3 linked regions of the Drosophila melanogaster genome follow. The protein of the gene in region 2 interacts with the protein of the main gene of each other region in a pairwise test. Each region holds a gene or a part of one and is shown on either strand. Other genes may lie near its edges. The genes, in order: Nop56, spag and Pih1D1.

What was found.
Region 1: the proteins of spag (region 2) and Nop56 interact in a two-hybrid assay, tested with the Drosophila melanogaster proteins (one study listed by BioGRID).
Region 3: the proteins of spag (region 2) and Pih1D1 interact in a two-hybrid assay, tested with the Drosophila melanogaster proteins (2 studies listed by BioGRID).

The regions. Positions count from the first base shown.
Region 1 is NT_033777.3:22,418,458-22,423,177, forward strand, and holds Nop56 (Nop56), read right to left. Parts: upstream 2,612-4,720; 5' UTR 2,500-2,611; coding exon 2,497-2,499; intron 2,334-2,496; coding exon 1,931-2,333; intron 1,866-1,930; coding exon 781-1,865; 3' UTR 638-780; downstream 1-637. Other genes in the region: mats (mob as tumor suppressor), read left to right, coding at 3,132-3,145, 3,511-3,677, 3,739-4,217.
Region 2 is NT_033778.4:24,157,464-24,162,102, forward strand, and holds spag (spaghetti), read left to right. Parts: upstream 1-1,920; 5' UTR 1,921-2,007; coding exon 2,008-2,163; intron 2,164-2,216; coding exon 2,217-2,494; intron 2,495-2,553; coding exon 2,554-2,762; intron 2,763-2,824; coding exon 2,825-3,408; intron 3,409-3,465; coding exon 3,466-3,751; intron 3,752-3,815; coding exon 3,816-3,907; 3' UTR 3,908-4,040; downstream 4,041-4,639. Other genes in the region: speck, read left to right, coding at 1-85; CG42568 (uncharacterized protein), read right to left, coding at 318-650; DnaJ-60 (DnaJ-like-60), read right to left, coding at 899-1,067, 1,129-1,457, 1,511-1,622, 1,682-1,725.
Region 3 is NT_033779.5:12,715,695-12,723,634, reverse strand, and holds the start of Pih1D1 (PIH1 domain containing 1), read left to right. Parts: upstream 1-1,791; 5' UTR 1,792-1,913; coding exon 1,914-1,982; intron 1,983-2,072; coding exon 2,073-2,184; intron 2,185-4,394; exon of another isoform or gene 4,395-4,590; intron 4,591-5,578; coding exon 5,579-7,741; intron 7,742-7,940. Other genes in the region: MRP (Multidrug-Resistance like protein 1), read right to left, coding at 1-1,076, 1,151-1,204.

The sequences.
Region 1 (4,720 bases), on a different chromosome or scaffold from region 2:
GCAGCAAAGCATTCCACAAAACCAATCAGCATTTGCCAACTTTGGAGCTTTCCAGCAGCAGCAGCAGAATCACAGCAATAATAACAATAATAGCTCGTCGGCATTCGACTTGTTTCAATGATATTTTTTAGCCTAATTTAACCCAACCAACCTACTACCCAAAATGTCCACTCTCACATTCACATTTCCACGATCGCTAAACTTGTCAGTTCTATATATTATTTACGTTTTCCTTTCCCCTTGCTGTACAAAGTTTGCGACACGTGCAATTTGTTTCTAAATTCGTTGTTAAACAATTTACCCCCGATGCAATTTTCCGGATCAAACCCATTAATTCCACATCCGTCCTGATCGTCCACTCGGAATTTGAAAGTCGTCATCAAATGCAATACACAGAGTAGTTGAATAATGGTTGTACTAAACGGATTCGTTAGCACAACGCGCGGACGGACGGCTGAGCGATCCAACATTGAAATTGTTAAACAAAATACTACACGTAATAAAATCAAACAATTTTAGCAATAGTTAACGTTACGATGTGTCTGTATATAAATTGAATGTAAAGCAAATATGAAATATAAAACAATTGAAACCAATAATTATGATAGTCTCTTGATTTAAAACGCAAACTCATAAAATTCCGGTGGGAATACCCTCCAAAGTATATGTTTATTATTATTTGAAATGCGATCCATCAGGGGGTCAAAGGAAATACAAAAGAAGCATGTAAGTAAAAGATAATAGTGTGGACTTAAACTAAGTTGAATGTAACAGAGACATTTACGCCTCCACCGCTTCCTTGTTTTTGTTCTTCTTTTTCTTCTTCTTCTTTGGCTCTCCATCATCGTTGCCATTGCCATTTTCCGCCTCGGCGGCTGCTCCGTTTCCATTACTGGCGCCATTCGTCTCGCCCTCGTCTTCAGCCGCTCGCTTCTTCTTTTTCTTCTTTTTCTCGGACTGTACAGTGATTGCCGCCTCTTGACCAGCTGCCTCGATGGCCTCCTTCATTACCTCAATGTTCTTGCGCGGCACATCGCCGGACTCGTAGAACTTGAGGCGATCTTCGACCTGTTGCTTAAGAGTTTCGCCAAACACGCTAGTCGGCTGTTCCAGGAAGCAATCGATACGCGACGCGATGGAGCACTTGTTGGCCAGGAATCGAGAGATGCGACCCTTGTTCTTCAGGCCAGCTCGACCAATGAACGAGGAGTGATAGATAAGACCATACTTGGGCGTATTGGAGCGGGTCTTTAGAGCACGGAAGAGCGCCTTCTCGGCACCCAGGATTTGTACTGTAGATGCTGGGTACTTGGCCAGATTAGTCAAGCTGCCGGCATGCGATATCAGGCGGGCACCGACCTGGTCGCCAATCAAAGACTGCAGATTGGGTGCCACCAAGTTCATCTTGTTGTGCAAGTAGGTAGACAGTTTCTTTCGGTACTCGGAAAGCTTGACAACGCGCTCTGCGAACAGCTCAATGTTCATCAGATCAACAATGGAGATGTCCATGCCCATGGACATCTTGGCGGCATCAATGATAGCCTGAGCCTTGGCGGAGTCCATGACGATCTTCTCAAGATCCTCCAGCTGGTCTTGCGTGAGGTTCTTGCGATCCTTGATGAACTTGGCCGCCTTGGCGAACATGTAATTGTCGGGAACGATTTTGACCAGTTCTGGGAAGTGATACGAGTACCACTCGCGTATCCGCATAGAGAAGGTATTTACGTCCTTATCCAACTGATCCAGCAAAGCAATCGACTGGATGATCATGTTGTCGGAACGATGAACATTGAACTTGACCTTGGCACGCGAGTAGCTGTGGCCCAGACCCAGCTGAGCAACGCCAGCGGACTTGTCGGTGAATCCTGCATCGGATGGAGGAGGCTTTAGTTAGACAAAGAGGATTTTCCTTGCAAAGCAGGTAGCTTACCCTTGACCAGCTTAGCGAAGTGGAATCGCACGCCGCGCAGAATCTCAGGAACCACTCCAAAGTGACTGCACTGGACGCCAATGGCCTCGGTGATTGCAGCTCCCAGCTTGGCATCCGCAATACCCAGGGTGCACTTCTTCTTCTTCAGCTTGGCAAAGAAGTCATCCAAGAAGGAGAGCAGATCCTGCGGCACTATGCCCTCGGATATGGCATTGATGTTTTCCAGTGCGGCAATGGCCGTCTTGAAAGGTGCAAATCCAGCCAGCTTAACAATTGAGTTGAACTTGGCGAGGTCCGTCACCGAGGACTCCACCTGGGGCAGGAACATGGACACCTCTTCGAACTCCTTGACGGAGAAGAGCGAGAAGCCCGCCGCATGCTCGTACAGCACATACAGGTTCGACTGGAGGCGGGGAAATGAAAAATTATCAGTCTGATGCGGTGGCAGACACATGTGGTTTTGGGTGCTCCGCGTGTGTAGGTTAGTTTTCGCAGGGAAAACATTTTCATTTCACGGGCAACCCGCAGAAAATTCAAATATATGATTATTGCACTGAAATATTTACCATGTCTATGCCGAATATATGCCGATTTAATTAAGAAATATATATTTTTATACACCCACGATGCTGCTACAGTTGTTTTCCCACGTGCTTACTTCAAGTGTGACCATAGCAAGCCGATTGCGAAATGTTAGGGACATACCAGATAAAATACCGCAGTACCGTACTGAATTATTTTAACAGGCTGGCCACGTTGATAGCCTGATAACCTGTCGCGTTGTCCCTCTCGCACTTTCATCAACTGTCTCTGTGTGTGAAAGCAATTTTATTTTTATTTATAACAAATTTTTTGCGTTTATAAACACAACAGAATTAACTAGTTGGCTCGGCACACTTCCTGGAACCGCTCGCATCAGCTGTTGGGCTACGGCACTAGTTAACAGACCGACCAACTGGAGGCCAGATACAGATACCATCATTGTCATTTCCCAATTGACCAGAGAAAGAAACCTGCTGCGAATTCCAGTCACTTTTCTTTAATTATTATTCGGCGCTAATTGTGTAAAAATCGGCGGAATAAAGCTGCTGACACGACACAGAAGAGCCGAAAAAGCGGTGTGGCACTCGCCGGAAAAGTCTACGCATAGGAAAATTCCATTGGAGGCTCAGTGAAAGGCGAAGCACAGCAATTGCATGCCATGGACTTCTTGTTGTAAGTTCTCAGGGGGGCAAAACGTAGTGCAACTGCAATCCTTTCGAGCACAAAGAAAGCTTGGATCACCCCGCCCCACATCTGACTTTCCGGCTTTGTTTGCCCTTTTTGGGGTGATATCCCCAACCTCTTGTACAGTGGAACTTCCCTAATTTTGTCTGCGGTGTTTAAAAAATAGCTTTTCAAAGATATCTTGCATTCTTCCTCAGTGAATTTAAAAAAAGAAAAAAAAAGGAAATATTTCTTTTAGGGAGTGTAAATTGAACGAAGTCGCTTACGTTTCAATCTATAGAATCTTTACTGTATTATGTTTTACTGAGTGGGGCTGTTTGGGGCCGCGACTTATTGCCTTTCTCTTTCCACAGCGGTTCCCGTTCCAGCAAGACCTTCAAGCCCAAGAAGAACATCCCGGAAGGCACACACCAATATGATCTCATGAAGCATGCGGCAGCCACGCTGGGATCGGGAAACCTGCGCAATGCAGTGGCCCTTCCAGATGGCGAGGATCTCAACGAGTGGGTGGCCGTTAACAGTGAGTCTAGTATAGTGTAACTAGCGAAAGATAACCAATTCTTATTGCCACTCCTTCGCAGCCGTGGACTTTTTCAACCAGATCAACATGCTGTACGGCACCATCACCGAGTTCTGCACCGAGGAGACCTGTGGCATCATGTCGGCTGGTCCGAAATACGAGTACCACTGGGCCGACGGTTTGACCGTAAAGAAGCCCATCAAGTGCAGCGCGCCCAAGTATATTGACTATCTGATGACTTGGGTGCAGGATCAGCTGGACGACGAGACCCTGTTTCCCTCCAAGATCGGCGTGCCGTTTCCAAAGAACTTTCACTCCTCCGCCAAGACCATACTGAAGCGTCTGTTCCGCGTGTATGCGCACATCTACCACCAGCACTTCACAGAGGTGGTGACGCTTGGCGAGGAGGCCCATCTCAACACGTCCTTCAAGCACTTCATCTTCTTCGTGCAGGAGTTCAATCTGATTGAGCGGCGCGAACTGGCCCCGCTGCAGGAGCTCATCGACAAGCTGACGGCTAAGGATGAGCGGCAGATATAGGAATCACTGCATGGAGCCGCGAATTTTCGCGATTCCGGCGGCGGTGGTGGTGGTCTGCGCTTGCAGTTGGACTTGTGATGAAAGCGCTCTGGCAGACTCGTGTATTACGCTTTAGTTAGTTACCGCCAATACTTTTATGTTTCGTTCATTGCTTCATGGGGTGCCTCCCACTAAACAAAAGAAAACAAAAAACCGCCAATTGGCAATGTGAACCGAACTATAGCGGGCTAATTGCTGATCCAGAGCAACTACTATATTTTTATATGTGAAACGTAAAAACGTATAAATCATATTTATATGTATATGTAAAGGAGAAAACAAAAGCAGCAAAAGCAACAGCACGCCTTTTATAACTAACACCTCCCGCTTTCGAGAAACAACAAATATTACGTTCACAAACTATGCGTGTTTCCTTGTTTATCGTTTTTCTTTCTGTATGTATTCTATGTATTTATTACTATTAAACTATCGCTAATTGCTCGCGGTTCAGCGGATCAAGCGAT
Region 2 (4,639 bases):
CTTCAAGCCGGCGGCCCCGCACGTGGGCATACAGGTGATGGCCAAGGAAGTGGGTCCCGCGAAGGCGGCGCAGACCAAGCTGTAGACGATCTGAGTTCGGATTTTGTACTATCGTATGTGATTCTTTAGTTTGTAGTTCGGTGGCGGGTTCCCAGTAGTGTATCAACGTTCGATTCAGCGTAGTGTAAACAAACAGTACAAGTTACGTATTTATCTAATTTAATCTTCCCGTCGCGACGGTAAACTTAAGTGTTTTGTGTTTAGAACGAGCTCAAAATAAAACCTTGTCTTAATAACATAACCGACTGGACAACAACTTAGCCCCTGCTGGCACGGCGGGAGTTCGACTTCCTGTTCTTGCCGGAGCGCTTGGCCTGGCTCCGTTTGGCCTGGGTCTTCTTGGCGTTCAGTTTCCGGTTGCTCCTGGTCCTGGAACTACGGCTGGTGCTGCTGGCGGTGGTGGTGCCCACACGGATCTTCCTCACAATCGAGTACGTCAAGTTGGACAGGTACACTTTCTTGGGCGTGCTGGACGAGCTGTAGGTGGGACTGGTGGAAGTGGAGGAGGAGTTCTGTGAACTGGAGAAGTCCAGGCAGCAGATCACGAGCACCACGATGCACAGGGTGCCGATTTGAATAGTTGACTTCATGTTGGTAGTAGGATTGCTTTTAATATGCTTCGATGGATGCGGCCGGAGTGCTTAAGTAGTCGCCCTGGTTGTTTGCACAGTTTGCTCAATCGCCTACGAAGGCCGACGAAATTGTTTAATTTTGGCAAAACACACTGGCGCTTAAGCAATCGCTCTTGAGTTTGCTTTGCCTTGAACCAAAACAAAATATTCAAAAATAGCTATATGCTTTCACGTTTAATTTGACCAAAGGAAATGGGGAAATGGGATTACTTAGCCGAAGACTGGTTGAAAGGACTCCGCGACATACGGTCCACCATACGACGCACTTGCTCCTCGTTGCCGTACTTCTGGGCATCGGCCACAACGGCGGCATGATGGGAATTAGCCTCTGCTGAGATTTCGTCCTGGATCTGGCGACTCAGTTTAAAGGACGACCTGTTGGGGATGGTGAAAGTTCAGTGTGACTACTTAAATTCTCTGGTTCATAATCATTAACCTGACGGAGGTGAAGCCAAAGAGTGCCCCGACGAAGCCTAGGGCCATCAGAACCACGGCCACCTGCCAGTTGGAGACCCTCTTCAGACCACGGATGCCATAGTACGGTCCTGGATTGGGATCGTAGTTGGGCCTCACATCCCACGCCTGGCCGGGATTGACCGTCTCGCCAACGGGACTGCGGTCCGAGCGCGATGGCTGCCACAGCAGGCTGTCATCGTAGTCTCTCCTCCGCTCCGGCTTTATCAGGGTCTTGTACGCCTCGGAGATCTGAACAAATCGGGCTGTGCGCTCCGGACACGCAGCATTGCTCTTAACATCTGGGTGGTACTGTGGAAAGGGCAGGGTTTAGGAGGCTCCTTTGGAATCTTGGAGTTACTTACCAATTTGGAGAGCTGGACAAAGGCATTACGGACTTCACGGGTGCTGCAATCATTGCGAATATTCAAAACTTCATAGTGTGTTTCGGGTTTTCTTGGTTTGTCGTTCGAGAAACTGCGCAATAGGCAAACATTTACTTTACATAACAAGTTTTATAGACGTAAAGTCCTTACTTACGCACATATCCAGCTCGAGTTGGAAGGCACAACCTTAGCATTGTGAGCTTTATTAGTATTATTTGTGCTGATCTGTCGGAGAAAGCATAATTTTAAACTAGGACTTTCAAAATAAAATCAAAACACAAAACAGCTGATTTGAGGGCCTTACTCTGGCAATCCTGGCTGGCCAGCTACAAAAATAGAGTTGGCAGCTCTGTTCGATGAAACAGCAACTCAGTTGAACTATCGACAGCGAGCAGTGCTGCCAGACTGTCGGAGCGCTAGCAACAGAAATAACAAACATTTAATATTTCTTTAGCCACTTGACAAGGCAAATCAATATGAGTGCACAGGAAAAAGCCTTCGAACTGCAGCGCCAGGTGCGCCAGAACGCGCGGGAGTACGAGAACTCCGTGAAGGACTTGTACTCCTGGGAGCAAGACATTAAAAACAAGGAGAAAGAGCTCCAGAAGTCGCCGCTTTCTGCCGCCAATAAGGTTAGCTTTAAATTCTTTGGTATTAACAAGTAAAGCTCACACTTTCAATGCAGGATCTGCCAGTGCGCAGTCATGTCCAGACAGACAAGTCGCGGAAGGAGAGCCCATCCTCCTCGGCGGCCAGCTCACCCACGGAGAAACAGGACTTGCCAGTGGATCCTGTGGCCCAGCAGTACAAGAAGGCCAACGACATCAAGGACCGTGGAAACACCTATGTCAAGCAGGGGGAGTACGAGAAGGCCATCGTGGCCTACTCCACTGCCATTGCCGTCTATCCCCACGATCCCATTTACCACATTAACCGGGCACTGTGCTACCTAAAACAGGAGAGGTAGGACTGTTTAGAATGTTCTCGATACTTCTTCCTTACATGCATATTTATCCTTGCAGCTTTGATCAATGCGTGGAGGACTGCGAGGCCGCCATTGCGCTGGATAAGCTCTGCGTGAAAGCTTACTACCGGCGAATGCAGGCCAACGAGTCCCTGGGCAACAACATGGAAGCCCTGAAGGATTGCACCACTGTGCTGGCCATCGAGCCGAAGAACATCGAGGCCAAGAGGAGCCTGGCCAGAATCAACGACCGTCTGCGCAAGATTGGTAAATATAATTTTGATTACCTAGTAAGCATATTTTAAGGCTTTTCATTGGCATCCTTACAGCCACCAAAAGTGGGCCAAACTTTACACCCGATCGTCCTGGCATGATTGAGATCTTGCCAATCGAGAAGCCTGCTTATAAACGCTCCAAGAAGGCAATGCGCAGTGTTCCCGTTGTAGACGTGGTATCTCCTCGTGCTACCATCGATGATAGCAACCAACTACGCATTTCGGATGAGGACATAGATAAGATATTTAATAGTAACTGCGGCATAATCGAAGAGGTCAAAAAAACAAATCCAAAGCCGACGCCAATGCCAGACACATCAGGTCCACCCAAAGCTGAGACCATTGCTAAGACCTCCAAAGAAGTCAAGCCTACCAAACAGACTGCGGTTAAAGTAGCTCCAGCTGTGGAAACCCCCAAAGAAACAGAAACACGCAAGGATACCAAGATTGTGCCTGAATCCGATAATGAGGCCAAGCCAAGTGCACCCAAAAAAACGGCTGTCGAGGTCCCCAAGGTTCAGACTCAAGTTTCTCCACCAAAGACCACAATAGAACGCAGCCCAGAAGTCAATACCGTGCAAACTGAAAAAATTGAACAAGCTTCGAGCAACAACGCAATGTCACCCAGTCCAATAGAGGTAGGTTCGCTTAAGATCAAAGCTGAATTATTATTAAACCAATTCTCTATGATTTAGCGCTTCTTACCGCCCGCACCCACGAGCACAGCACAGTTCCATGTGACCTGGAAGGAGCTGAGTGGTCCGCAGAAGTACCAATACCTAAAGTCCATTGAAGTCCCGAATCTGTGTAAGATCCTGGGAGCAGGCTTCGATTCGGACACGTTTGCCGACCTGCTGCGCACCATCCACGACTTCTTTGTACCAAATAAGGAGCCAAACACAGCAGCTGTCTTGCTGGAGATCAGCAAAAATGACGAATTCACCATTTTGGCCATGCTCATGTCCGCAGAGGAGAAGAAAAGTAGGTGACAAAACTTTTCTTGCATAATTTCGTTTGCATTTCATGTACTTTCCCCTTTTCACAGTGGTTTCGTCTATCCTCAACGCCATCAAGAACTGGCCCAGCAAGAATCCGGCTGTGCTGGACAACCTTTTCAAGGAATACGGAGTAGCCTAAACACCCAATGTTTTATGTTAAAATGTACTTATGTTGCTTCAAATTGTTAGCTCCAAAATCAACTAAAACAACAAAAATGTTTAAAATATAAAGAGGATTTGTAGATAGGATCCCAAAACGTTACACAGAATGCGAATGATTGAATGTGTTTTGTTCAGCGTTTATTAGATACGCTAAGATGCTCACTAGTTACACATGCTGGGAATATCTCAAAGTGACTCATGTTTTTTAGCCTAGTATAAGCCGAAAATTCCATATGCAGAAGACCATTTGAGCAAACAAACCGTTCTTGCCCGACCAGACCATGAATATTGAATAACCAATTGAGTAATACGAATTAGTGTAATTTACATAAATCAGCGCATTAATTCAATCTGCGAAGCCACCTAAAATGGGCCTTCCAGCAAGAACAACAACTCCATTAAGCGACGTTAAGTTGGAAGCGCTGATGATCAGTCGGCTTATCCGATCCGTGCACATATCATTACAGCGAAACCACAGCCAGGAGCACCAGGAGGGGCCCCCAAAGCAGGAGGGGCATCTCGCCGAGAACCGCGCACCACCGAGGCACCCGGGCGGCCCACTAATTGCGTGAGAGCTGGTGCACTAAGCACAGGGGCCGGGTTTTACTTTAGCCCATTGTGCCGCCGCTAGTTATAATTTAATTTACATTTTTCTTAACCAACGCTGGCTGCGATTTATCAATTTCTCGCCGCGAGAGAATTCGCGAGA
Region 3 (7,940 bases), on a different chromosome or scaffold from region 2:
ACAGCGTATAAGATACCCTTCCATTCGGGCTCGGCATCTTGGGCCTCGACGAAGCTGATGATCAAACTCAGGACTTGGGGCTGGGCAAATGTCAGGGTGTCGGTGAACAGCTTCATTAGGGCGCCGAACAGAAAGACGCCTCCGAAGGACTTGTAAATTGGCGGCATAATACTGGCCATGCCCTTCTTGCGGCCATTCTTCTCACCGTGGGGATTCTCAAAGGTCACGTTGCCATTGCTAAACTGCGCCTTGGGTTCTACGCGCGCCTTGTTCTTGTAGTTCTTGCGCACGTTCTGGTTCCAGTGGTGGGCGAAGATGGGCATGACCTCGGAGCAGCTGTCCTGCGGCCTCAGGTCCCACAGATCCTTCTCCTCCAGCGGGTTGCGATAGCCCTTGAGGGCCATTTTGTCGAACCACTGATAGGTGATGCGGGAAAGGAAACTGGCTGACAGTTCGGGAATCTCGTTCTCACCCCTCTGGTACTTGGTTTGTCTGGGCATTCCGTCCGCGAAGCAGTTCAGGATCAGCATAATGCTGGTGAAGGTGAAGAAGATAAAGAAGCTAACGAACTGATACTCCTCCCAGGAAAAGTCCTGCTCGGATGGCTGTTGCGAATTCAGAATCTTCTGGCGCTCCGCGTCCAGTCGAACTTCAGTGCGGCAGCGGGGAATCGACAGCACAGTGAGCAGGAACCAGAAGATGAACTGACATCCCGTGGTCTGCACGCCATACTTTCGATTCAGCGGGATGAATATGAAGAGCAACAGGAAGGTGGCGAACTTGATGATGGGACCCCAAACATCCAGGTCGTAGAGCGGCAGCTCAGAGTCGCCGCCCTTCTTGACCAGCGCCATAATTAGGTCCAGGGCAGTGATTACCAGCAGACCCAGATTCACCAGAGCTTTGCTCACGTTCAGCTTGTTCCACGGTATATTCCTGTCCAAACTCGCCTTCAGGTAGTAAAAGTCAAAGATCACGAACGCCCAGTAGAAGGCGCAGGGTGTCCAGACCAGCGCCGTTTGCTCAAAGCAGGGCGTAAAGTCCGGATCGTTGGTATACCATGTCTCTGTTGCGTTCTGTTCGTTGGACACACGGAAACCATACATTTACACTATGCATTCGGATTGAACACCACTGCTGATGCACTCACCCAGAACGTGGATCCGCAGAATCTGTCCATCGGCGAACTAGTGTCATCCGCCATGGTTACTCGACTGCTCGGCAACCTCCTCCACGTGCAATTGGGCTATATGCGTATGCTATATCGGGCGATGTGGTAACTGTAAAGCGGCAAGGAAATAAACGGATCTATATTTTCGGGCCAACAGCTGTTCCTTCCCAAGCCGCACAACTACAACAACCGCTAATCGTGACAGTGGGAAGTTGATTGCTAGTATTTTTCTGGTATTTCGCGGGCACAGTGGGTGTCGGATGGAAAATGAGTGTATAATTCTGCACTGCGTGTTATTTTAATTGTTTATATTGATTTAAGTGAAACTTGTAATTTTTGTACATAAATTATTAAAATACATTTGCTTGGAAAACTTAGTAGAAGCAAGTAGAAATCAATTGCATTTGCAACAGCAAAAATACAAATGAATTTCTTAAATTTGGATTAAGCTTTTAAAGTTTCATATAGAAATTCATAGCAATTATTCTCGAAAATTCTTGTCATTTACTTTTTATTAATGAGCACCCTGTACAGGGAAAACGCCTATCTAGTATTTTTAGCCTATCGCATGGCATTAAATGTTTTTCCACCGGCGTTCACACTGTCACATTAGTTTTCATTTCAATCGAGTTGACAGCTCCATTCTGGCAAATAAAATTTGCGTTTTTCGCTCGTCGCTCAGCGCAAAAATAGCATTTGCATTGGATTAACTCGTAACTGGCAATTGAAATCGTGCAGCAAAATGTCGCGTCGTTCCAATTTCATTGAGGGCAACGACAATTTTCGCGACCAGAACCTGCGCTTTGTGCGGGTAAGCAAAACTTGAGAAATTCGATGTGAGGAACTATCTGCGCCACTAAAGATGAACTTGTTTTTTTTTTTTTTCATTTTCTAAATGCAGAACGAGTTTGAGGACAATATTAACCAGTACTTTGGAGGCGCCGATCCGGAGGGCAGCGGCCCGCAGCAGAAACCGCCGCCGCGAGACTCGCTGATTGTCCAGCCGACCGCAGGTAAGTGGCGTCCATTGCAACAGCCGGAGCTTCACATGGCACAGCAATCGCTGCCGGTGGCGCGGAGAATCTAACCGGAGATTACAGCCAGCTAGTAGTAGGCATGACTCTGGGTTTATGGTCTACTTAGCACTTGTGTGTGCACAGTAATCTCTGCGAGCGCGGAACCATGTCAACCTGATAAACATCTCACGTCGACGTCGATTGCGCGTAATCGCTCGGGGTGGTACAGTGAACCCGCGATAAGGCGAACAAACGCACGCGAATGGAACACGTCATAGGACAGAAAAACCCATCCTAACGAATCTTCGACAAGACTTTAAAAACCAATTACGAATATTGAAAACATATCCGAATTACTTGTATTTAAAATTGAATCAATTGCTCTAAATTTTTTAATTAATTCCGTAAGTTAACTATAGTTTGTGCACACTTTTTGTATATTCAAATTTCCAATCTTTTAATGGTTATTAATTAGTATTTTGCACTTAACTATTGGATAATTCGTCAAAACAAAGGCAAAAAATCAATTATCCAAACAAATCAGTTTAATTCCTATGCACACTATTATTTGACAAACTATCTATCGTATTGAAACAAAAAGAGGGTTGAGCGGGTAGTTAGTACGAAGTTTTGTAATCTAGCCGTCGTTATTGTGCGCTACGGCAGTTAAGTGTTTACATGTCCAGGGCCACTTGGAGGAAGGTCTAATCGCGCCCACTTGAAACGATAGTTTATAGTCCAGCGAGATTGTACAATGCCAATGACAAATGAGCGACTAAAACGTGTTTCCCCGCCTCGAAGAAGAACTAATTTACACAGAGATACACACAACTAAAAAGAAGGAATGAGAAACTTTAAGCGAATCTTGAACGGAGCTCATAAAAGGTATTGGGCTAGTCACATTTTATGGGCGCCAAAAACTTGTTTGCCCCGTACACGCATGTGTTTTAAGCCATTTGACTTTAGATAAAATTCTAACACATCTGAAACGAGTATTTTCAGTTCGATATAATTAACGGCGAAACCTGTTCCCGCAGCGATTATATAAGCACAAAACAATCGGCAGAAAAAACCCCCTTACAAAACCTAATATTTCAATTGTACGAAATGTGTGTGTTTTGCCTTTACACCCAAGTGAAATTTCTCTTTAAAAACAAAAACGTCGACTCACGATGAGATGCTAAGCAAAATGGCATGGAGATCTCTTGGCTGCACCATAAAATCAAGGAGAAAACCTGACAATTTTCTCAGCAAAAAACGCCACTCTCTTCACAACCTGACTGACACACACGGTTTGTTTGTTCTGGATCAGATCATGCCAGCCGGCACAAATTGTTTACACCGCCAAAGAAGAGTGATTTATTTACAGAATATCAACGACACTCGACACTTGATGACTTTTATTAATAGGGAAAAAGCTGAGATAAGGCTGACTGGCTGCATTTAGCCAAGTGTGCAAACTCTGGAGAAAACAACTTCCACATAGCGAGAATGATTATACGAGCAGCTCCTTATCGGGGACCCCACAGCTGAACCTTATCGTGTGTGCTGCCTGTTGCTGTCCCCCTACTAGACTCTTCCATTGTGTTTGTCGTTGCTCCAGTTATGAATTGCACATCGTAAACCCTATATTGCTCCTAATCGCACACTTGTTTGCTCCACTTGCTGCTGATTCTGAGTCCTTGGAGCTTGATTACCATCGGACTGGGCGAGAAGCTGTCGAACCCACAGATCGTAGGCCATCTTTCAAGGCCTGTGACGTCAGTGGAACCCACGAGGCAATTAACTTCAAATTTGTTCGTACGAACAGCAGTACGACAACCTTGCGCACCACAATTTTTACACTTTTTCTGTTATCAATTAAATAATCGAGCTGCGAGCATGACAAAACACTTAACCATATCAAACTACTTTGAATGTGAATCATCGATTTCTCGTCAGTTCTTTTTTTTTTTTTTCGTATTTCTTTCGTTTGCTGAGAAATGTTTGCGCGGGATATTCTGGAGCCTTTCGGAAATTTCACAATTTCAGGCAAAGAATGTGGACACACAGAGATAGATACACAACACATAGATACGAACGCACACTGGCACACTTGTTCCGCTTTGGCGGAATCCAACAACCACATATCAACAAGGGTATCAAAAATGGACGGCGGTGGTTGTTGTTGGCGGTATCGATGCGACTGAAATGTCACTTATAATTACCTCTACGTAGAAAAAAACTCGCTGCGATTCAAACGAATCGGTTGTGGGGGATCGGAGTGAATAGAATCGAATCGAAACAAAACGAGCCGTAGCGGTTGAGGTCGGATCGCTATTTGGATTTGGATGGAGGGCAGCGTCGGCGGAGCACTTCAAAATCGACGGACAACCGGCTCGTTACGAGCAAAAAGGCAAACTGAATTCGAAGCGAGCGCTGCGAACAAACTTATTTGTTTTCCGCGCTTTCCGTGCTCAAAAAAAAAACAACAAAAATGAGATAATAGCGCCACCTCGGAGAGCGTTTAACTTGGCTCTTTTTGTGGCGCTGACTGCCTGGTGGCCGCCCGATCAATTAAAACCCCCTGCCATCAAAGCACCCGACTCTCCAATAATGCCAAGTTTGTCCAGAATAAAACCCAGCTGAAAGATACCGACTCTCTTTCCTGATTTTAAGTGCCGATTTAAACATATTTTCCTGCTCTGGTGAAATTATTCTGAACCGAAATGGACACACGACGCGACTCTTAAACGTTTTGTTGTCGCAAGAGCAACAAAAGTGGGCCGAAATGATAACGATATCAACAGTAGTCATACAATTAAGAGCATTTAATGGGTGTTTGGTTGCGAATTCTTCACGATTTTGGTATAAGCATGACCATACCTATTGATTATCAGTTTATTGTGTGTTTGATGCCATAAATGTATAATTACTGAGTAGTTTCTTAACAACTACAACTACAGGATTTGCTGCTATGCATTTCGAAAGTACACACCAATAGAATAGAATTCTGTGATAGAATTTCTAATCTAATCAATTTAGATGTTTAATTTAAAATATGAGATAGTGGCAGTGCTTAGTGTTTATAGATTGACAAAAAATCAAACATCAAACTTAGTCAGCATTTTGATAACGACTGAAAAGGCAATCAAGTAGTAATGCAATTGAAATTATCATTTTTTTTTGTGTTGTACAATTTGTTAAAGCAATTAAAGGGTGGGAAGAAATGCAAAACAAAGCAAATCTATTATAGATTTAAACTAAAATTTGTATGCATATTTTCAGTGAGCATTGTCGTCATGAGTAGATTAGATTGGAATTGGTTTGCTAAACGTGACCACATAGCTCTAACCTAAAACGTGTCTGCTTTTTTAAATTTTAAATTTCATATGTGGTACCATGAAAATAGCCAACAGCGAGCTGGACAATCGGCGCCAATTTCTCCGTGACCTGGGCGCCAGTCGGGTGTTGGCCAACGCCTTGGCGCAGCGCACCTTCAATGTGCCCAAGTTCAACCTGCGCCATTTCCAGCGCCAGAGGTTCCGCCTCAGCGTCGAGCTGGGCGACAGTCACCAGGATGTGGTGGACAAGGAGGTGCTCCAAGCCATCGAGGAAGCGGTGGCTAGCCACGACGACGTCGAGTCGCGGCCACGCACTCCGTCGCCGCCGCGGAACATTGATTGGCACAGCGCCAGGATGAATAACTCACCGGCTAATAAGGATCGATCGCGTTCTAGGAATCGTCAGAGAGAGGAAAATTTCCCAAACAACAATCGCGGAGTTGTGGAACAACGGGAGCCAATCAATAGGAATTGTGGACCCGTAAATCGCAATAATCCTGGCATGAATCCTGCTGAGTTCAATCGCAATCGTTATGCAAATGCGCAGGACTTTAATCGAAATAATCGAAATATGGACAGAAGTGAATTCAATCAAAATAATCGCAATTTCAACCGAAATGAGGGTTCACGTCCCAATCCACAGGATTTCAATCGTCCCAATAGAAATCAAAATCCACAGGATTTCAATCGTCCCAATAGAAACCAAAATCCACAGGATTTCAATCGTTCCAATAGAAATCAAAATCCACAGGATTTCAATCGATCTAATAGAAATCAAAACCCCCAGGATTTCAATCGTCCCAATAGAAATCAAAATCCACAGGATTTCAATCGCAATAATCGTAATGCCTATCCGCATGAATTCAATCGTAATATCCGAAATGATAACGAGCAGGAATTTAATCACAATCGTAATGCAGTCAATGATGAATTCAATCGCAATACTCGTAATGTTAACAACCAAGCATTCCCTCAAGGACATAACCATAACAATCGTAATGCGAATGCACAATTCAATCGCAAAACTTTTGACGAGAACCCAAACTTTAATAACCAACGTTTTCAAGGACCAAATCACCAGATCAACTATCGTGTTCAGATGCCAAACAATGATCATTCCCAAGTAAACAACAATCGCAGGCCTGGTAATCAGAACTTCGTTTCGAATCAGCAACCCAACTTGGATCGTAATGCTATAAGCGATGACGGCATTCAGCTGCCAAGAGATCGATTCCGTTCGCCTGAAGCGCATCCAAAACAACCACCATATCCACGTAATGTGAACGCTGACCAGGTTGGAAACCGTGGACCCCAAAAGAGGCACAATTATCAGCGTATTGTGAATGACAATCAAATAATACTACGTCGCACCGACTGGACTGACGAAGAAGAGGATCTAGATCTAGAACACCATGATATAGACGACTATATACCCGATGAACGCGAATTTCTTGAAGATGATGCCGATTTCATCGATGACACAAATGATACACTTATGAATGATGATCAGTATGAGGGTTACCACTCAAGGGGTAATCAACACTACATCCAAGATCATAACATCGATGATCGTAATTCATATGGACGCAATCGCAACGATCGTAACTTTGAGGGCATTAGGCGCCAGTTTGATCCAGAACTCGATCGACGCAACTTAAACGACAACTTCAATCAGCGAAACAACTATTCGCGTGGCGGTGACACCGTACGCTTTCCCCGAAGGGAGGATGACACATTCCAAGGCTCAAATAACCCTAATTTTCCACCGAACTATCCAAACACTATTCTCCGTGGATCGGGTTCTGGAAATCGTTGCCGCGATACGAGCTCTAACAGACCCATGGGTCCCAATCAAAACAGACGAAGCCGCCTACCAAATGCTGATGAAGCTGCTCCAAGTGTGGCCCATTCTGGGGGTCCCATACAAGATGGAACTAATTTAAATCGTAGAATCAATAAAAATTTAAATCCTGGCAAGGGGCCAGATCGCATCAATGCTGGGACTCCTAATCAACCCAGATCCAAGTCAACCACATCTCAAACTCGAAATCTAAATCCTGATATTCCAAACAAAATGGTCAAGAAGTCGGCGGTTCCACAAGACAATCGTGCACCGCAACCAAACAAACCTATGAACACCAATCCTGGTGCATCCAAACCTGGTCAGTCGGTAATCAAACCGAAACTACAGGCAACCAAGATCAACGCGGCCATGGCGAAACCGCTCGCTGGTAAGGGATAAACTTTTGAATTCTTAATAAATTAAAAATTTGATACAAACCAATTACAAGCTAGCTTATAGAGCTTTTGTATTGGTTTTAAAGTGTATAAATGATTTTAAAGCCACATTTGGAATGCAAACCCGTTAAAAATATATCCCTTTTTTTTCAAATGCCTTAAATTAAGGATCGTACTCTAGCTACAAGAATT